Linked DNA regions of Elephas maximus indicus. The protein of the gene in region 3 purifies or fractionates together with the protein of the main gene of each other region. This does not show direct contact. Links are inferred from orthologs where the notes say so. Each region holds a gene or a part of one and is shown on either strand. Other genes may lie near its edges.

Region 1 (6,958 bases), on a different chromosome or scaffold from region 3:
ATGTCAAAGGGAAGGAGTATAGTACATTTGCTAGGATCTTGAGCTTTGGAACCAGAAAGGTGCAGATTCGAATCACATCTGCTAGCAACTAGTGATAAGGCCCTAGGCAAGATAACAAGCATATACCACTTGCTAGGAACCATGCAGGATTCTAATTAATCTGTAACAACAATATGATTAAAAAAAAACAGTTGCTGTTGAGTCAATTTTGACTCATGGTGACCCTGTATCTGTCAGAGTGTGCTCCATAGGGCCTTCAAGGGCCGATTTTTCAGGAGTAGATTGTCAGGCCCTTCTTCCAAGGAGCCTCTCAGTAAATTTCAACCTCCAACCTTTCAGTTAGCAACCAAGTACATTTACCGTCTACACCACCCAGGGATGCCATAATATGATCATTGAGAATTAAATAAGATAGATGTACTATTATTATCCATATCTTACAGGCAAGGAAACAGTCACAAAGAGGTAAAGGAATATGCCAAGGTCATAGCTAGTGAACATTACAGCCAGGGTTCTAATCCAGGCAGCCTGATGCCAGTCCATGCTCTTCACTATCATTACACTATGCTTCCTCTCTAATCCGCAATTTCTTCATCTGTAAAACAAAGCTAACAGGTCTGCCTTATCTCGCAAGGTCATGTGAGATTAATGGCAAACAGTAAGCTAAATGTTAGCTACTCTGAGTGGTAGTAGTTAGTCATCATTCTATTATCTACATTCACCTTTGGTCTAGCCAAGGGCAGAAAAATAATATTTTGGCTGAGAAACATCTCCGAGACCCTCTGCTGTAGGGTATATTAGAATATAGTGGAAGCTCCATGAGAACAGGCATTGTCTGCTTGGCTCACCACTGAATCTGCAGCAAGCAGTGGGAGCTCAATAAATGTGTGGTGAATGAAGAAGGAATGAATTGAATGCATGGACAGGGTTCTGCCAAGACATGGTAACTTAGGTAGAAAGCATCACCTCTCAAGTGTAGCTCAACACAAAAGAGGTAAATTCACAAGGTTCTCAGAGAATGATGTTAGCTAGCTATTACTTAAGACAGCCTGGCTACAGGAGGCAGGGTGGTACAATGCAAAGTGGAATAACACAGATGCAAATTCTGCTCATTCATTTTAGCTGAATGGACAAGGCGACCTGGATTTTAATCCTGGTTCTGCCATAGAGTAACTGGACTATTACTGGAAGTCACTCAGGTTTCTCAAGGTCTTGGATTCTATGACGATCGTAAACAAATACATTCTACTTGCTCATCACTTTATAGACAATCTGAAAAGAAGATTATCAGGTACTCAGTAAATGTTTCTTCAGTGAAGGTCATCCTCAAATGACAGATGATAAAACTGGGATTCAGGAAGTAACTTGTTCAAGGTCACAGGGCCAGGGTAGAACATGAACTTTCTACACAAGGTTAACATTCATGTTTTCCAAGATTGCTTTCAGTTCTAAAACATTGTTAATATACCTCTGCAGTGCAATTAATTACTTTTGGGTGTTGCCTTTCTAGCCATGGTCTTATAACTCCTACCCAGGTGACTGGGTAGGACTGTGTGATAGGGTAATTGTGGCCCACCAAGAGGACTGGTCAGTTTTGCCTTAAAAGAGACCCAACTCCAGAGCAGGGAGGAGGATCTTAACACCTTCAAGGAAGGACAGCCAGGAGTGGAGAGCAGGTCCTTTGGCCGGGATCCCTGCACTGAGAAGCTCCTGGAAGCAGGAGAGCGAGCTGTAACCCTGAAGATGGTGAGAAGCAGTGGCAGCAGAGATGTGGCAGCAGGAGACAGCATGTGGGCCACTGAGAGAGAAAGCTGAGTGCCTTTGGGGAGAGGCCGAGGGTCAAGAAGAGGTGAGCCTGCAACCACAGCTGGGGAGAAGCTGTCCTATGGGAAAAACTGTATCCTGAGTGTTCTGGAGCCTGAATTGTAACTGTTACTTCCCTAACCAGCTGCCAGGGAGTTGATTCCAACTCCTGATAAACTCCTTAGTCCTGAGTATGGTCTGTGAGTTCTGTGTGGCCACTGCAATGAATTATAGAACCCAGGAAAGAAGTAGAGAGCGCTGTGCGAAGGATGACTGGTGTCCGAATTGTTAAAGATGATAGAGCAGGCTTGTCTGGCCTCCACCTCTAGCCTTGCACTGTTGATCTTGGTTCTCCTTCCCCCTTGTGGGGCTGGAGGTCAGACGCCATCCTCATGCCATTTTTAAAAACTCTTTTCCATGCTCAATAAATTTGTAATCATTTATCTTATCAAGTAATCTTGCCTGACTGCAATACATCATGGTAAAACAGGAGTTGTACAACTATTTTCACATCATCAACCTAGAGAATCAAAAGACCTTAAGAGATAATGAAGTGCATATCCCTTGCTTTTGCCCAAACTGTGAGAAGTATTTTATAATACTTAAACCACAGTCTAAACTTAACCAATGTGATGAAAAATAACTTCTAGTACCGCAACGCTTCCTGAAAGTACAGCACACAACTTTCCAATTCTATAATCAAAGTTGCGCCACTTGATTCAAAAGTATTCACAAAGTTAAACATAAAAGGTTGCAGAGAATGTCTACGAGTGCTTTCTTCCTTTATTTTTATTAACAAAATACTCCCCTGACATTGAACCTTTGAGTATAACACCTTCCTAAAGATTGTCAGGGGCCCTAGTGGCACAGCGGTTAAGCATTTGGCTACTAACCAAAAGGTCCGTAGCTGGAATCCACCAACAGCTCCTTGGAAACCCTATGGGACAGTTCTACTCTGTCCTACAGGGTCGCTATGAGTCAGAATCGACTTGAGGTAACTGGGCTTTTTTTTTTTTTTTAAGGATTGTCAAGTTAGGTAGGGGTAAAAAAACATTTGGCAGTCACAGTTACAGTCAACTTTCTAGACGGTTCACAAAGGGAGAGTCAAGGTCAAACTGTTGAGCCTCATTACCCTCCCATATGTTACTGTAAAAGGAACTAATTGTGAGCACAAAATACTCCATTCTATTATTCTTCAAAATACAAATGTTAAGTCCAGCATCACGCCTTTTCTCAGTCTGTGAGGGCTGGCTGACGTGGAATTAGACCAGAGGGGTAGGAGGGCAGATGTCAGGACACAGCACTACAGTGACAGTGACACTCTTGAAACTTTTGCCTACTTCCTAGCACTTTCGCCACCTATCAAAATGAGAATAATCATCTCGCTAGACATGACTCAAATGATATGATGAGGAATTAAGTCTTGAAATCACGGGCAAACGTGAGATACTGCTATTGTCACTATTATTTACTACGTCGGGCAAGAAAGATCCCCCGCGCACTCTTGGCTGTGAGTTCCGCAGGGTCCTCAAAGGACGGAATAGTGTACTGGGCGAACTGGCTAGGAAGTCTCTGAGACTGAGATAGGAAGTGAGCCCTTCAGGCACTGGGCCTAACGGGCTCTACAACGACCGCACCCCCCCCCCCAGTCACCTTGTCCTCACCTTGAGGAACGGAAAGAAACCCTACGAGAACTGGCAGTGCGGTCCTCAGGAAGGAGAAAGAGGAGCCTGCACTCTCCATTCGGCCGCCGCTGCTTGTGCTTATACTTTACCGGGGGCGGGGAAAGGGCTGCGGCAGCTAACAGAGCCTGGGACGCCTTGACCTCGGGCGTCAGAGAGGCGGGCACAGACACTGGGCCCACGGCCGGGACACTACACGAAAAGTCTGCCCGAGGTCGGGCCCGCCTCGCCCACGGCCGCAAGCACAGCAGGAGGCACCCCGCCCCCGTGAACCCTGAGGGCCCTGAGCTCGCTCACCTGCAGCCGGGTCACTAGTAGGCTGTAAGGCGCCATTTTGTGCACTGACAAAGATGAGGTCGCGTGAAAGTGACGTGCCAGACGACAACTTTAAAGACTTAGGCAGGGGGCGTGGCCTGACGAGAACACAGCGCGGTGGGGCGGGGCCTCCCTAAAGGCGCCCGAGCCCAGCGAACGTAGACGGCAGAGCCGCAGTGTTAGGAACGGGCACGTGAGAAGAGAAAACGCTCGTAAAAACAGTTACGGTAATTAAATGCCTGTACAAAGATGTTTTATCGAAAAACAAATTTCGGCTATATCTTCCATCAAAATCTGGGAAAGGTATTCATTTTAGGACTTTCGCGCTCCTGCCAGGACTTACTTCCGCAGCAACCACAGAAGCTCTTCTTGGAACGTAGTGGCTTTGATCTCGCGAGGGGGAGCGCGGCTTAGTGCCTGATGGAAGTCTCCAGGACCAGTCATAACGACCAGGAGGCAGGAACAATGCGGGTCAAAGGTCGGGCGGAAGTTCCGGAAGCTTCCGGTGGCAAGTTTGAGTGGGAGCTATGGCTAAACACCACCCGGACTTGATTTTTTGCCGCAAGCAGGCTGGAGTTGGTGAGGCGGCGGCCTGCCCCCGGCTGTCTGGGTGGTGGTGGTGTTAGGCGCTGGGAGGTTGGGAGTTCTCATCACTTCTCTAGGGCTTTGTCTCGGAGCCGCCACGTTTCCCACCTCACGGTCGCGGGGTAGTGTAGGAGCGCGCGGGAGGGAAAGAGCGGGGCGCGCGGGCTGTGAGCCAGAGGTGGGCAGCAAGGGTGGGGTCCCTGGGACAGGGTTCCGAGAACGGCTGTCGCAGGTTGCCCCTGATCCCAAGAAGGGATCGTGACTGTAGGTTTGGTTCGGATGGAGGTCTACGAGGATAAGATGACTGTCCGTTAGAGTTCACTGTAGTCCCTGTCATTGTCCCCACTCCAGCCCTCTTCGTCAGAACCCTAATTCTAATGGTGCTCTATATCTTCTTTGCTCTTGCAGCCATCGGAAGACTGTGTGAAAAATGTGAGTGGAACGCGTCTTCCCAGCCCCCCCACCCCTCCCACTCAGTGGAGTCAGGGAAAGGGTATTTCCAGCGGTGCCACAAAGAGGACTTTGAGTAGATGGGACTGGAAGCATGTGGACACGGGATCCCAGGCAGCAACCATAGACCCTTTCCACCTCCCCACTCTGACTGGCACATTTTAAACAGTGCATTTAGGTTTTGCAGAAATCTCTAGCTTGAGATACGAAGAATCGCCAGAGTAGCATGACCCCCAACCTAACATACACAGGTCTTTTTGCTGCAGTTATGTAGAGCTATCATCTACCAAAAGTTGGTAGTTCGAATCCACCAGCTGCTCCTTGGAAACACTATGAGTCAGGATTCTGAGAAGCACTATCTCAGGTTGCCCCAGACCTGAGAGGGGCTTCAGGAAGGGATTGTGACTGTTCTGTCCTATAAGGTCACCACGAGTGGTAATCAACTTGGCAGTAGTGGGTTTGGTCTTTTTGGTTTATCTACAAGGGGCTGTGCTATGCTCTTTATGTATGTTAATGTTTTGTAAGTGTTAAGGGGATTGAGATGGATACTGGGTAATGGCAAAGTAGAGGAAGGGCCCTAAACTCACTGTCCAAAAGAAACTAGTACACCACCCATAGCTGAAGGAGGGCAAAGCACTTGGGAGAGGAAGTACTTGCAGGTGAGCATAACTCCATTCACTTTTCTTCACAGGCGATGGCAAGTGTGTGATCTGTGACTCCTATGTGCGTCCCTGTACCCTGGTGCGCATATGTGATGAGTGTAATTATGGCTCTTACCAAGGGCGCTGTGTGATCTGTGGAGGCCCCGGAGTCTCCGATGCCTATTACTGTAAGGAATGCACCATCCAGGAGAAGGATGTGAGTGTTCACAAAGCTTTCTACCTGACCCTTCCTTTTATTTAGTAACGCTTTGCCATCCACAGCAAATTTTTATGGTCTGCAGAGATGACTATGTTCAGCTAATCACCTAAGTTATCATTTTTTCAAGCTCTGTGAGCCAAACTGGGTGTAGCTCAATAAAAGGCAAGAGAAGTGCAGAGAAGCAACTCTTTGTCAACACCTGCAATTTGGAGAGCCCTGTCTCTATTCCTTTGATGTCTCCCTGTGGTGGTTGTTACCCAGAAACAACATCCTGCATTTGTAAGTCCTAACACAGGCCATATTGTATAAAAGCCACTCAGCATATCTCTTGCTTCTGCTATCCTTAAGGGCTGTTTGGGTGGATATGGTGACAAAGTTGAGTTTGGGACAACTTGAGCTGGTTTCAGCTTTAAGCAGCTAAAGAATGCCTTTGGTTTAATGTTGCAGCATTGATTGTGGTTCTGCCTCATGATATTTTTGTTCCCTGGCATTGTGTAGTCGCAGTGGCTAGTTACTAATGTTCAACTCCCTGAGCCAAATGGCAGGAGAGAGGGCTTATAGATCAGCACCAAAGACAAATTTTACCGTTTTTCTTTAGATTAGTACTGGCAGCAGGCCCCCTGGGTTGTGGGGGAACCCGTGAGTCAGTTAACTTGTTTTCTCAGAACACTTTTTTAATTTATATTTTCCACATCTATTCCGTGTTTGTTCTGCATCATCCATGCACATCGTCTATTCCACGTCTGTTAAAGGTAAATTCCACCACTATTCTACATCTATTCTGCATATGTTCCACATCATCTGTTCTTAGGACACTTTAAAAGGAAGTATGTTACAGTCCCATTGGACTAATAGAGGGGACCTGCTTACCTAGTAGGAACCCTTGTGGCACAGTGGTTAAGTGCTTGGCTGCTAACCAGAAGGTTGGCGGTTGGAATCCACCAGCCACTCCATGGGAGAAAGATAAGACAGTCTGCTTCTGTAAAGATTTACAGCCTTGGAAACCCTATGGGGCAGGTCTGCTCTGTCCTGTGGGGTCACTATGGGTCAGAATTGACTCGACAGCAATGAGATGTTTTTTTGGTTTGGTTACCTAGTGTAGGATAAGACAAAAGGTAAATATTCTTCATGTTTTGGTAAACTTACAGTGGGTACTTTATTAATGTTATTGCCCTTATTCCACACACTATGTCAAATGGGTGTCATTATTATCATTCCCATTTTACAGTCCCCCACCCAGCTAATAAGTGGCAAGCCCAGGC
Region 2 (7,884 bases), on a different chromosome or scaffold from region 3:
CTGTCCTTGTGTCTCATTCTTTCTGTCTCTACAGCTTGTGCCTCTTCCCTCACTAGAGAGTTCAATTGTTCTCGTCTTTTAGCTTGGGTTGAGGGTCTTTAAGATGCTTTAAATTAAGTCAAGGTCAAAAAGGTATCAGTGTTTTCCTTTACTGTTTTCACATGCTGTGTCTTGTTCAAGAATGATCTGGTATCCCCAGGGTCATGATCATACTCCCCTTGGTTTCTTTTAATACCTCTGTGTATGCAGTGAGGGAGGGATCTCTTTGTCTTTATGGACAATCAATTATCACAGTGCTGTGCACTGGATAAACCCTCCTTTACCCACTGATATGAAATGCCACTTCTGCCAGCCACTAAGTTCTGGCCCTTCCTCACTGTCTGTGCCTTTCTCCTCCCTTGGGCCCGTCTGTCTGTCTCTCTTACTGCACATCTCTATCTCAGTCTGTCCCCATCTCTCTGTCTGGAACTCATCCTCCACGATCAGTGTCTGTATTTCTGCTCTTGCATCCTTGTTTCTCACTACTTCTACCCCACTCGGCCTCAGTTTCCCATTCAGCTGTCTCTGCTTCAGCCTCCCTCTCCATCTCTGCCTCAGTCTCCCCTCCCGCATGCCCCTGCCTCCCAACTTGGCCCCCTGCCCCCCCCCCCACCTTGGATGAGCTCCCGCAGCGCAGCGTAGCGCCGGTTGCGCAGACGGGTGCGCAGGGCGCGGGGCCGGGCAGTGCCCTGTCGGGCCACCTCCGCACAGTAGAAGTCTGCACGGTGGTCGCCGCGCAAGTGGCCGAAGCAGGCCAGGTGCTCCTCGCGGAGGCCCGTGCGAAAGCGTTCTAGGAACACCAGCGGCTTCTCGTGGTACAGCCGGCCCAGGATGGCCACCTTCTCCCGCTCAGTCAGGTCAGGCTCGCCCCGCTGCTGGCTGCACACGGGCAGGCGGCTGGCGGCCACGGCACGCAGCATGGCGCTCACCGCTGGGCTCTCGGCCCCGGGGGGGTCGTTGTCCAGAGCCCCCGGTGCTTCCTCTGAGGCGTCCACCTTGTCTTGGGGCCTGGGTGGGACCGGTGTCCAGCTCAGCTCCCCCCAGTGGCTGGGACTAGGCTCCGTGCAGCCTGTTGGCAGGCGGAGATTTGTCAGTCCAGGGGTGGCAGTAGGGAAAGAGGAAGGGACTAGTGCTCAGTCCCTCCCTCTTCACATTTACTGAGCACCTACTATACTAAAAGCACTGTCTTAGGCCCAAGAGAGACCACATTGAACAGGTCAGGTAAAATCTCCTGCCTTCAAGAAGCTGACCTTTAGTGGGGCACACAATTAACAACATAATTATATAATAATTATAATTATTGAAAACAGTGTGTTAGGCAGTTTCAAGAACCATACAGAGAAATCAAAAGTGAAAGGGAAGGGAGTAGGGGGAAGGCTGCGATTTTGAATGGGACAGTCAGAGAAGGCCTTCCCAAAATGTGATATTTGTAGGGCCCTGAAGGTGTCCAGGGACTCTGCCACAGGGTTTCTAGGGGAAGAGTGCTCCAGGCGGAGGGAACAGCAAACACAAAGCGAGGCGGACTGTGGCTGGCATGTCTACTTGGTCCCTTACCACCTCACTCGTTGATTCACTCTAATGTTTGCCTTTTTACTTGTTCACAAACTCATGAATACATTCATTAATCTGTTTACTCACTCACTCATTCCCTCGCTCTCTTCTTACTCATTCACACACTGACCCAACCACTCTACGCCAAGCTCTGAGCTGAGAACCCAAGAGATGAAGCCAATCTACCCCTTGCCCTCAGGGAGAATCCCGTCTGATGAGGGAAACCGGCAAGGTTAAAAAGACAGTACAGACAAAGATAAGAGAAAAGCTCAGTGGTGGGCAAATCTTGGGGAGAGCTGTTTCCTGCAAATGGTAGGAAATGGAGCAAGACTGCAGCAAGCAGGAAATAAGTGAAGGCAGAAAAGTACAGACAACTCCTGTAGGTGGCTTGGCAGGGGAACGGAGGAGTGAAGGGGTGATAGTTACAGGTGTGATGGGAGGGTTTTAATCGCTGAGGCAAGAGAAGACTGAGCTGGACCAGGGCAGGAGTGCTGGAGAGTGGTGGGGGTTAGACAGACACTCAGAAAGCAGAGTGGACAAGCCATGGGGCTGAAGGGCTGGGCAGGGAGAGGCGCATCCAGGATGAGGTCCAGGGCTCCGGCCTGGGCACGGTCAGATTATCCCTGAGACTGGGACATGGAAGAGGAGCAGGTCTGGGGGAAGATGCTGAGCCCAGTTTGGGACACAGAAGGTGTGATGGCCCTAGGGACATCCAAGGGGAGGTGTCTCAAAGACTGTGGGGGTAATGAAAGGTTGGGGAGGGGCTTCGTAGAGGTGAAGGATGACAAGAGGGCTCCTTGAACAGATGGGAAGAATATATCCCCCTGAAGGAGACTGTAATAGGCTAAAATAAAGAGACCCTAAAAGGGATCCATGTTCTAATCCTAAGTATCTGCGAATGTCAGCTTATACAGCCAAAAAAAGAGTCTTTGCAGATGTGATTAAGGATCTCGATATGGGGCTATTATCCCGGATTACGTGGAGGTACTGTGAGAAGGGTTAGCCTGGGGCAGTGGGAGAGTTAGCCCAAGACACGGAAGAGGTTTAAATTAACCTGAGAGCCTGGTGAGTAAACAGATTAGCCCAGGATATGGAAAGGGTTGGCTTTGAACTGGAACTGGGAAGAGGTTAATTTGGGGGGTGGGTGGTTAGGAAGTCAGCCTGCCGAGAGAGGGGTTAACCTGGACAACTGCAGAAAGACTCAGATAAGGCGGAGGGCAGGTGTTCCCCTATAAAGAGTCCTCCTTCACGTTCCTGGGGAATCATCTCCCAGTGACACCGCGGCCGCGCCTCCCTCAGCCTCCGCGCGGCCGGGGCCTCACCCTCATCGGGTTCCCTCGCCGCCGCCGCGGTCGCCACAGCCTCCATCCTGAGTCTCTACAATTTGCCAACCGCCACGACAGGTTCCACAATCCGATCCCAGCCCCACGCCCTCAGCAGCCACTTCCGGTTGAGCACGCTCCCGGGGCCGGGTGCCCCGCTGCGCCCGGGCACCAAGGTTCCGGGCCGAAGGTGGGCCTATCTATGCGCATGCGTACCTCCCTCAGCCCGCCTCAGCCAGGCAGAAAAGGGACGCTGGGTCAGAGAAGCCACTCAGCCTCTCCTATCTGAACTGCCACAAAATTGAAACATCAGGAGGGATCTGGACCACTATTCATCTTGCTCAGTGCGGTGACTCCAGCGCCCAGCAGAGGCCTGCGTGGAATAGCCCAGCATGCCTCATGTTGGGGTGGATGGTTAAATGCGCGCCTTCCAGGGCCTGTGCTCTGGTTTAGACGCCAGTCTCTCCCCTTCATTTCTTCACCACCTCAGGGAATATTTACTAAGCCTCAACTCCTACTTCTGTCATCACACCAGTCACTGGCTGGCATGAGATGGGTGGTGAGATAAGAGGTAGAACTTCCCACTTTATGGTCCTCAGACATGGAGATCTTCAGATATGGAGGAGGGCAACTGTGGTCCTGATTTATTCTATGGGACGGGTAGGAGTCCTCCAGGCCTGGCAAACAGAAGGGTCAGGAAACGCTTATTTCTTGAAGGAGGAGACCTCGGAGCTGAGACTTGAAGGATGAGCAGAAATTAGAGTAAAAGACAGGAGATAAGGGTTTCAGCCAGTGGATGGGCAAGGCAAAGACCTAGACGGATGGCAGGCATGGATAGTCTGGGAGCCGCAAAGACTTCACTTACGGTCAAGGAATAGGAAAGTTCTCACGTGAAGGCCGTGACTGGGAGGCAGGGGATTTGAAAACGTTGTGAGTCTTTATTTTCCAAGGTTTACAGCTTTTTGAGATCCCTAAGGAGAAATTTAACACCCTCCCCCCACAGAAAACAAAAATCCTCACAACTGGACCAATGAGCAACATCATGATAAACAGAGAAAAGACTGAAGTTGTCAAGAATTTCATTTTACTTGGATCCACAGTCAACAGCCATGGAAGCAGCAGTCAAGAAATCAGACGATGCATTGCATTGGGAATATCTGCTGCAAAGGACCTCTTTAAAGTGTTGAAAAGTAAAGATGTCACCTTGAAGACTAAAGTGTGCCTGACCCAAGCCATGGTATTTTCAATCGCATCATATGCATGTGAAAGCTGGACAATGAATAAGGAAGAACTGACGCCTTTGAATTGTGGTGTTGGCGAAGAATATTGAATATACCATGGACTGCCAAAAGAACGAACAAATCTGTCTTGGAAGAAGTACAGCCAGAATGCTCCTTAGAAGCAAGGATGGTGAGACTGGGTCTCACATACTTCGGACCTGTTGTCAGGAGGGATCAGTCCCTGGAGGACATCATGCTTGGCAGAGTACGGGGTCAGTGGAACAGAGAAAGACCCTCAACAAGGTGGATTGACACGGTGTGGCTGCAACAATGAGCTCAAGCATAACGTTGTGAGGATAGCGCAGGACCGGGCAGTGTTTTGTTCTGTTGAGCATAGGGCCGCTATGAGGAGCTGACTCAATGGCACCTGATAACTCCCCCACACTCCAGAAAAGCCACTGATCTAAAGTTCCAAGGGGGAGCAACAAGAGGTGAAGCCAGTGAGGTCACCAGGGCCCACCCAGGCAAGACTCATAAACAGCATTAAGTAGCTTGCGCTCTTTCATCCTGACGGGCAGTGGGCAAGGAGGGGCCGTGGATCGCGGTAAGGGCGACCTGTGAAGAGCCTGCTGCAGTAATTCAGAGACTGGTTGAGAGCAGAGGAGGCACTTCTGGCTTTACTGGCCCATAATCTGGAGATGTGGAGAACTCACCACAGGAGGGCTAGGGATTGTATTTAGGCGTGTTATCAGGAGTAGGCAGCAGAGGGCGCGGTTGACCCACACATGGACTGGCAAGGAAAGGAATTTCCCAGACTAGGGGAACCCTGGTGGCTAGTGGTAAAGAGCTTGGCTGCTAACCAAAAGGTCAGCAGTTCAAATCCACCAGCTGCCCCTTGGAAACCCATGGGGCAATTCTACTGTGTTCTATAGTCACTATGAGTTAGAACTGACTGGACAGCACCTAACAATAGCAGAACCTGAGGCCTGCTGGCAGGCTCTCCCTCAAGCAGCGGAAAGGTACACAAGGATCTCTCATCAGCCTTGACCACCAGTCTTGGCCCTCTCTCATGTTCAGATGCCCCGCCCTGGCCCTCCAGACTAATTGGCTTCCCTCCTCCCGTTTGTAGCCTGTGTCCCTTTCTGTAGGGCTGGACCAGAGAGGATAGGGGCTGACCAGGCCACCCCTGTGCCCCCGCACTGTCCCATCACAGGCTGGTAACACAGCACCTGCTCAGTAAATAAATGTGGTGCTAATGAAAAGGTTGGTGCGCTTTTACCCTAGTTCACTGAATTTTCACTATCAATGCCTACAGAAGCCCTTCTTTCACCACCCCTCTTCAGAATTCCTCACCTCTGACCACTTGGGGCTGCCACTGTTTGGTGCCAGGCTCATCCTGCCTCTGGACTGGGAGCCCCATGAGGGCAGGGTCCCGGACTGCTTTGGTCATGCTGCGTCCCCAGCACTGCCCAGAACAGATGACGCAGAGCAGGTGCCTGGCACATTCTGGCTGAATGATGGATGCTCCCTGGGCTCCTAACTGGCCTGGACCACAGGTGGGCAGCCAGTAACTGCAGAGACCAGGCCTGGGGTGAATGTTCAGTTAACACCTGGTGATGCCCCTGAACAACCCAGCCCTGGTTTCCTCCCAACCACCCCACCTCTCCCTTGGCCTAGGGACCTGCTTTACACCTTCCACTCAAAAATTTCCTGCCGGTTTTGGAGTGTCAATTGACTGTGAGGGGTAAAGGACCCAAGAACCACTTTAAAAACCAACTAGCGGATTTTAAACTGGGGGCGCCAAGAAGCTAGAGGGGGCGTCCCCAGCACTAAAAACAGGGCCAGGCACACGAAGCCCTCAGTAATTACAGGTTGGTTTAATGAATGAGTAAATAAATGCCCCTTGAAAAGGTCCCCATCCTGGTTAAATGCCAAGTGTGGTAACACTTTAGGGTTCCATCCCTGCGTCCTTCCTGCTAGGAGATGCCATGTCATTTATTGAAAGAAAACAAAACGAAACAAAACAGGGCAAACACATTTCTTAATAAGTGCAGTTTGTTAAAATCCCGTTAAAACATATGGGACAAGGGAAAGTAAAAATAATTGAAGCGGATCACTGTAGGAAAAACTCCCAGGTCTGGGACCTAGAGACCTCTGAGGGAGGCGGTGGGAGAGCTTAACGTTCTGAGGGAAGGAGCCCTCCACCTCCCTTTCCCCCTCGCCCGTTTCGTCCCACCAGAAACTACCAGGACGCCCAGAATAAAAGGTTTCAAGTTCAATAGTCACACTCTCTCCAAATACAAAAAAAGCAGTTACAATTCAACTTGACACAGAAGCTTGTGTGCAAAGTTATGGGGAACTGAGACATTGTATAAAAAGTTAGGTTAAAGGTGATTTTGTGGTTTGTTGTGTGTTTTGTTTTGTTTCGAGGGTGTGGCTCTTCCTCGGTCACCTGAACTCAGCAAAGAGATGGTTATCTTGATGAAATACCAACAGCCGACCCACAGTAAAAACTGACAGATTCTAAAAAATAGGGGGCGGGGGGGAAAGCATAATTACAAAAAAAAATAAGGTCACTGCTTCCTCCCTCTGCATTTTGCTTTTTTAAACTCATGGTTTTTTTTTTTTTTAAAGTTTTTGATTTTTTTTTTAATCCTGAAAAGCAGACAGTAAAACAGCTTCTGGAAGAATTTACAACAAACTGCATGAGGGTCTGGGAAGCTGAGGGGCTGGAGGGTGGGCACGACTGGATGGGGGGGGTCCTCCCCTCAGTCACTGGAGCCTCACTGTGTGATCAAGGGAGGAGGGGAGGGTTCTCTAGTGAAAAAGGAAGGAGGAGGAGGAGGGAGGAGGCGGGGGTCGACAGAAAATAAAAGGTCATTGTTGCCTGTTTGAATTCAGAGAGAAAAGCCTGGCCCTGTGTAGGGAAGAAGCCCCTTGGCAGGGAGGCAGTGGGCTGGAGGGAGGCAGCCCTGGGGTGGCCCCATCCCCCAGCACCACGGGACCCGGCAGGGGCAGAGGAGGGGCCGAGGTGGGCGCTGGTGGAGGGGCCTCTGGGCGCCCTGGCTACTGTGTGCTCGTGCCGCCCTGCGTGCTCCCGGAGTAGCTCCCGTAGTCGTAGTTCCCGTAGTACGGCGGCCACTGGCCCTGGTTCTGGTAGTACTGGTTCCACTGCTGGGCATACTGGGGAGACAGAAACCAACAGGACGGGGGTCAGACCCCAACACCAGGCTGTCCTTTCTCCAGACCCACCCTCACCTAGAAGAGATGGGTACAGTGATGGCAGCTAACAGCTGGGTCCCCTGACGGACAGAGGAATCAAGGATAAGGGACTGGCCTGATGCCACGTGGGCAGGCAGTTAGGGACCGCAGCCCAGGTGTCCTGGCTTGCTAACCTATGTCCTTCCAGGCACAGCCAGATGGCATGTTCAAAATATTCACCAACAGGTATGTGGCCCGAGCAGCAGCCAATAGGAATGGCACTGGCTGCAGTGCTGAAGCAGGCTTGTGGGCCCTCTCTGCCAGACCCTACACAGCCATGCAGAGGGGCTGCAACACCGGTTACTCAGTACACAGCTCCGAAGCACTGTACTGCGGAGCACCAGCACCAAGGCCAGCAGGCTGCCATCTTTTTAGGGATAAATAGACTCAAGCCTGGGAACACACATCCAGGCAGGGGCCCCTGAAGGTTTCTCTACCCAGTCAGCGTCCAGTCTGGTACCTACCTGCTGATACTGGTTATAGCTGGGCTG
Region 3 (6,952 bases):
GTGGTGAACCACCTTACATTCTGAGCAGGAAGTGACATAACGAAAGCCCCATATTAGGAGGAGCCTGGTGGCTGGCTGTGCTCCTTGTGGTGGTAAGGAGATAAATGGGTGCGTGAAAGCAGCTAGAGGAGGTCACAGGAAGAATGAATGGTGGTTATTCACTCTTGTTGACGTATACAGCAGAGATGTGCATTTTGGCGTTATTTCATAGGTAAAACAGAGATTATGGATATAGCATCTAATAACTGTTTTAAAAGGTTGTTTTCCACTTTGAATAGAGGCAATACAACAAAAAAGAACTGCCTATATAGACAAAAAGGAAGTTAAGAGGGTTTAAGAGATTCGGCATTTGGTGGTCCTGGGGCCAGGTCATCATGGTAGAGTGTGCCTGTGTGGGGAATGTGTGAATGTGTAGCAGTTGCAAAATAAAGAGAATTATTCCTGTACTTACTGTCATAGGAAATGTTCAGGCCAGACAGTTTGTGCTAATCCATGTGGGGTCAAGTGGTGTGGGCACAGCTGCCATCCAACTCACCCAGATGGCTGGAGCTATTCTTCTGGTCATGGCTGGCTCACAGCACAAGCTTCGAATGGCAGAAAAGCTTGGAGCAGCTGCTGGATTCGATTACAAAGAAGAGGACTTTTGTGAAGCAACACTGAAATTCACCAAAGGTAAACAACTGCTTCTGCAGCTCAGCAGGAATGTCAGAGATGATTAAATAAATCCTCACCAGCTTCAAGGTTGCCAGGACTCTGCTAAATGCACAACAGCTGGCCTGGTCAAACTCTAGTACTCTGGGGTTTGACCACTGGGGACAGGCAGTTGGTATTTAGGACTGAGATCATTTCCATATGCATTCCTGCAAATGATATAATTCATACACGTTTTAGAAGCTGGATAATTATCAAGAGTTGACTTGGAATTTTCCAAAACCTCTTCTTCCCAACCAGCCACTCCATAGTGAGTTAATACCAGGCTTGAGGCACTGTTTGGATCTGGAGCTAGTAGGGTTGGGGTAATAGGGTTGTGCATGCGTCTGCATTACAAAGCCAAACATGTATGTTTTTGGCTCATCCCTTTCAGTTTTTCATATGAGTAGAAAATCCAGTGCAGATACTTTGTAACTTAGATATGAACAACTAACCTGCCCTGTAGCCTGGGTAGACCTCCCCTGTTCTGTTCTCACTTATACCTGGGTGCCAGTGCACACTGTACTTAAGTGGTGGTAACAGGAGACACCAAGTCATGGTTTCAGCTCGTTTCCTTCTTGCTGCTCTCTTATGACTAGGGGATCATAAAAGATGAACTATTCACACATGCCATAATAGAGTTCAGCTACTTAAACTACATTTATAACAATGTTTCCATGAGCAATGTTGCTAGTTCCAACCTATAAATTTACCACTTGCACCTGTACTTAATTTATACCCATATATCCACAAACTTTCAAATCCACCAGGCGCTCCTTGGAAACTCTATGGGGCAGTTCTACTCCGTCCTATATGGTCGCTATGAATCGGAATCAACTCAAAGGCAGTGGTGGGTTGGATCCACAAATTTAGGGTGGCTGTGAGTTGGAACCAACTCCATGGCACCTAAGAACCCATAAATATACCATGGAGTCTTATTTTACACCAAGTTTTCTGGGTCTGACTGGCATTACAAATCTGTTTCATGTGAAACGTGCTGGAGCCAACCTTATTCTAGACTGTGTAGGCGGATCTCACTGGGAGAAGAATGTCAACTGCCTGGCTGTTGATGGTTCTCCATGGTCTGATGCGAGTAGCTAACATCAATGGGCCTCTGTTATCCAAGCTACTTTTTAAAGGAGGAAGCCTAATCACCAGTCTGCTAAAATATAGACAAATAGGTACGTGATGTGTGAAAGAAAACACATGGTTTCATTTACATAAAAGTGTGAGAAAGGAAGCTTTGTCACATCTTAGGTTAGGGAGTTTATGTAGAAACCTGCCCCCCTGGGTATATATGTACCCTGATTTCAGAGAACCAATTAGGGTTGGTCAACAGAAACCTCAACATCTGGGAAAAAGGGTGGCTAATGCTTCATACATAAACTTTCTAACAAAATGAACAAAGTATTTAGCATATTAGGAAGTACTTCTAATAGTTCCAAGATTTTGTTTCCAAAGGCACTCTCCTCAGTGTACTAAGAAAGTAATACATGTTACAGAAGTCTGTGTGGCATTCTAGCAGGCACCAACTTCGGGAAAGTTTCCCAATATGGGTTCCACAACCGTTGGAGGAAAGGAGCTCAAACATCCCTTTTGCACAGAGCCTATATAAGTCCTATCTGTGGCTGCCTCTCGCTTGAAGCTTTTATTTAGAAACAGCCCTCTGGCCATTATTGACCCCAAAACCAAAACCAAACCCGGTGCCATCAAGTCGATTCCGACTCATAATGATCCTATAGGAAAGAGTATAACTGCCCTATAGAGTTTCCAAGGACTGCTGACCCTTATGGTTAGCAGCCGTAGCACTTAACGGCTATGCCACCGGGGTTTCGGGTCAATGGCCATTATTGACAGTAGTATTTCACTCGGAGCTTCAGTCCTTATCTGGTACAGAACAGAGGTTACGCATTTGGGGGCCGGCGCACACACGCTAGGAAGTGAAGAGGGTACCCCTGTGTGCTTTTTCAGGTGTGTACCCGTTTCAGAGAGATCAAAAAGTATGGGAAGCGGCAGGGTAAGGTCTCAGTCCAGGCTGACGGATTCCTTTTCCATATCTTAGTATAAGCAAATGCTGGTGAAGGCTTCCACGGAACGAGCTCTGCCTCACTTCTCCACGAAGGACCCCCAACGTCTATTGCCACTTCTGGATAGAGTCTACCTGTTGATGGAAATCCAAGAGGCCCATGTGTACACGGAGACTGACAAGAACATGGGCAAAATCGTCATGAAGCTGCCCCAGTGAAGGCACAGGGTACAGGACACTCCACCCTAGGCCTTCTCAGAGTAAACTTGGAGAAAATTCACAGGCAAGAGTTCGGGTGCTATTCCCAGACCCACCCTAAAACACTGCCCCTTCTCGACCTTTTCAACTGACCCATGTTAAGCTGGCGTTAAGAAACAAAGAGGGTGGAGTTGAAGTGTGGTGTGCTCACTGGCGACCCCAGCTCGCAAACTAGCGCTGACTGGCCGGGTGAGGTGGGAGCTGGGATGACTGACAGGGGGATTACAGGAAGAGGCCACAGAGGTGTGGTGGGGGGGGGGGGAGACGCAGAGAGGGCACTTGCCCCCAGACGCAAGTCCAAGAGGGCATCAGACAAGGCACCCCTGGGCGCTACAAACATGAAGGAGCCTGAGACAGCCGGACAAAGGACCGGGAAAAGCGTTTCCGCTGACGCATCGTCGCTATCTGTTCATCTTGAAATTGGGGGGGGGGGGGCGCAATTCAGAGATTGCCCCTGGGGGCTGGAATTGGCGGGGCAGGGGCGGGGGGCAGGGGCAATTCAGAGACTGCCCCTGGGCGCTCGTTACCCTCACTAAAGCTCTGAGAGGCCAGTCCCGCCGAGGCTCAACTTGGGGAAGGCACTACGGAGGGCTGGAGGTCCGGAACTAGGTTACACAGTCAGCCTCGACACTACCCGCCAGAACCTGTGAACTCCGTCTCGCGCACTGCCAGAAGCCCAGGCTCATCCACGAGTTCTCCTGCACCTGGCTACCCACGTCCCGCAGCCCGGAGCTTCTCGCCAAACTCGGTCCCCTTTCCTCGACCCAACCAGTCTCCGCATCACCCCTCACCGCCATCCCCGTGCCCCGCCACCTCCGGTCAGCTCGCACTGCTTAGGTCCCCCCCCCGACCGGAACACCTTCCCTTCTTGAGCTGAGGCCCCGCCCTTTCCGGCCCAGGACCCGGAAGCATCTTCGACTGTCTTCTTTCACCTTCCGGCCTCACATTTATCTCAGGCTCGCTTTGCTCCCGGAGTCTTCTCGGAAGAGGACCGGTAGTACGTCAGCACGTCTCGACGTGAAACGGCGATTTTCTAGCGTTGTTTCAGCAGCTTCCGGTGGAGGCTGGTTGTTGATGGCCTGCGTTTGACACTGTTGCGCTCGAAGTAGAGCGAGCTCCAGAGGTGTCCGGAGGATTCCAGTCTTAACTACGGTGACTTCATCAGCCTGCCAAGATGGCGATGCAAGCGGCCAAGAGGGCGAACGTGAGTAGCGGGGCCTTCTGCGGAGGAGGGGCGGACTTCGCTGTTTGACTTTCTTAGAGGCGTGCACAGAGCATGCTTACTCCTGTGTCCCCTGGGCGGGGAAACCCAAATTTTCCTGTCCTATCCGTGGGGATTCCACGCTGTCCCGGTCCTCAGGGGTATGCTCATTGAGCCACAATTCCGCCCACACCCCTTTTGAAAGTTCCTAAAGTATCTTAGTGTTAGTGACAGTGCTAGCCCTACAGAATTTGTTGCTTGACCTGTATTTAGGGCCTGGCATCAGAATCTCCTCCTCAGCCTAAAAATTGATAGCATAGACGAGTCCCCAATAAATAATGGTCCACAGGCGACTAAAACTTAAGATTCTCTTCAGATCATAGGGTTTTTTGGGTCCTTCATTAACTTATTGATTCAACAGTATTTATTGAGCACTTGCTGTGTGCCAGGGAGGGAACAATTCCTTAGTTACATTTATTGCACCTCCTACGTGCCAGCTACTAATCTAGGTAATCACTTTTATTCAGCAGTGAATAAAACAAAAAATCCTTGTCCTATAGGTGCTTACATTCTAGCATTAGAGAGTGAGATGTTATGGAAACTTAAAGAAAAATGTCTCAAGAAGGAGATAGTGGTGCTGAGACGCATAATATGATGACAGGTAATTGAACCCTGGATAGGGCTATTAACCGAAAACCAAGCCCGTTGCCATCGAGTCAATCCCAATTCATAGCAACCCAATAGGATTCCAAAGGGTGCCTGGTGGATTTGAAATGCTGACCTTTTGGATAGCAGCCAAGTTCTTTAACTACTGCTCCACCAGGGCTCTGGATATGGCTATGGTGAGATGGAAAATTTTGGTGACACTGATGAGTTGTTTCAGTGTAATGGTGGATGAAAACTTGGTTGTAGTGGGATGAAAAGATGATGGAAGTTGAGGAAATCTCTTTTCATGAGTTTTCATGTAAACAAGGAGTAGGAAATTGAGTTTAGTGATTAAAAAAAAAAAGTTGAGCAATATAAAGTGTATTGTGTGATCATTCCAATGGGAATGATCTGGTAAAGTGGAAGAAGCCGATAATGTACAAAAAGATGTGTTGATTTCAGGAGTCGTGTAGATGTACTCATCTGCTTTTGAGTAGATGAAGGGTTGGCATAGTAACAACCCAAAAAACCAAACTAATTGCCTTCGTGTTGATTTTGATTCAGGGTGACCCTATGCATTTCAGAGTAGAACTGCCCCCTGTAGCGTTTTCACTGGCTTTGATCCTTTGGAAGTAGGTGGCCAGGCCTTTCTTCCAAGTATAGAGAGAGGGAACATAGGTGGATATGGATGAATGTAGATTGGTAGGTTTAGTGATAGGACTATAAGGTACTTACCACTTGGTCATATCCATTTTGTCCAAGAAGTAAGAGCCAGGGTCATCTCCTTGGACGGGCAGGGAAAAGGATACAGCCCAACAAAGGTGTTGGAGTGGTGATAATAAGGTTGAAGACAGAAGATATTTTTGATATAGTGTCTTACAAACTAAGAAAGCAAATTTACCAGAGAAATATATTTCGGTTGTCTGGCAGCATTGATTGTCTATTTGAACTTAACCTTGAATTATGGTCTCTAAAACTTTATTGTACTTGTTCACCAGTTGTCATTACTATTTATAACTGTCTTTTAATATAAAAATAACTGAATAGCTATTGAGTAAATTAATGTTCAGTATCTAATTTATGTTAATCAGGAGCATAAGAGTGAGATCTAGACTGGAGTTACGTATTCCAGGGTCATCAACTTACTGTGGAAACCACGGGTGTGGTTAAGAGGCCAGTCAGAGAGAATGTAAAGAGTTAAGGGGCGTATACAAAGGATCAAGAAAAGAACTCTAAAGATACAGCCCTGTGCAAGAGCATATTTTAATGGTAAAGAAGGCTGAGAAGACCTAGCTAGAGTGTTAGGAGAAAACCAAGAAAATGGATTGTTGCAAGAAGGAACTAATCAACGGTGTTAGAAGTCTCAGGCTAAGTATGATGAGGATTGAGCAATGCGGTTAAAAGCCCGCAGGGAGCCCCTTGTATATATTTTCACTATGTATTCCCAATACCTAACCTGGTGTATAAGAAGGTGCTTAGTAAATATTGTTGGTTGAAGGAAGAGGGATCTAGATAAATTGTTTGTTTTGTGAAAAGATGGGCAGGATGTGAGCAACTGCTTATTGGGAGGACAAGAAGAAGCTAGTGGTGAGGGAAAGGTTGTAAATTCATAAGAGAAGACATCAGTGATACAAGCCCCTGAGAAGACCATAGAACACACATCAGTGGGGATTTTATTGTCTAGCAAACAGGAACAGCTCCTTTCTTTCTTTCCCACATGTAGTCGGAGGTGTTAAGGACTTTTAGATGTGGTTGAAAGTCCGTATTTAACTATAGTGATCAAAAGTCTTGTTTTATCGCAGGCCCGTATTAGTTCCTACTAATGGTCTTCTCTGGAACCATCATCCAGTTGCTTTTCTGAAGAGCATGTCATTTACATCAGATAATAATTCTTACTCTTGGCTTTTCACTATTATGTATTAGAATTTTTTCTAAATGGTAGCACTCCTGCCTGATTATAACGACAACATATATTTCTCATTTTAGATTCGACTTCCGCCTGAAGTAAATCGGATTTTGTATATAAGAAATTTGCCATACAAAATCACAGCTGAAGAAATGTATGATATATTTGGAAAATATGGACCTATTCGTCAAATCAGAGTGTGAGTCTTACTGATATTTTTAAAATG

Evidence for each region.
Region 1: the proteins of SF3B6 (region 3) and PHF5A purify together in Homo sapiens (affinity purification with mass spectrometry; 4 studies listed by BioGRID and IntAct, with this or other methods). This does not show direct contact. The link is inferred for Elephas maximus indicus from reciprocal best matches to the Homo sapiens genes SF3B6 and PHF5A.
Region 2: the proteins of SF3B6 (region 3) and CCDC97 purify together in Homo sapiens (affinity purification with mass spectrometry; 3 studies listed by BioGRID and IntAct, counting the BioPlex papers as one, with this or other methods). This does not show direct contact. The link is inferred for Elephas maximus indicus from reciprocal best matches to the Homo sapiens genes SF3B6 and CCDC97.

What each region holds. Positions count from the first base shown.
Region 1 is NC_064822.1:185,615,926-185,622,883, reverse strand, and holds the start of PHF5A (PHD finger-like domain-containing protein 5A), read left to right. Parts: upstream 1-3,944; 5' UTR 3,945-4,027; exon of another isoform or gene 4,028-4,136; 5' UTR 4,137-4,220; coding exon 4,221-4,278; intron 4,279-4,284; exon of another isoform or gene 4,285-4,327; coding exon of another isoform or gene 4,328-4,379; intron 4,380-4,736; coding exon 4,737-4,817; intron 4,818-5,526; coding exon 5,527-5,693; intron 5,694-6,958.
Region 2 is NC_064829.1:109,873,508-109,881,391, forward strand, and holds the start of CCDC97 (coiled-coil domain-containing protein 97), read right to left. Parts: upstream 3,064-7,884; 5' UTR 2,959-3,063; coding exon 2,913-2,958; intron 1,109-2,912; coding exon 653-1,108; intron 1-652. Other genes in the region: HNRNPUL1 (heterogeneous nuclear ribonucleoprotein U-like protein 1), read right to left, coding at 7,199-7,315, 7,858-7,884. UniProt on the Homo sapiens protein: May play a role pre-mRNA splicing through the association with the splicing factor SF3B complex which is involved in branch-site recognition.
Region 3 is NC_064830.1:41,616,450-41,623,401, reverse strand, and holds the start of SF3B6 (splicing factor 3B subunit 6), read left to right. Parts: upstream 1-3,940; 5' UTR 3,941-4,148; coding exon 4,149-4,178; intron 4,179-6,806; coding exon 6,807-6,925; intron 6,926-6,952.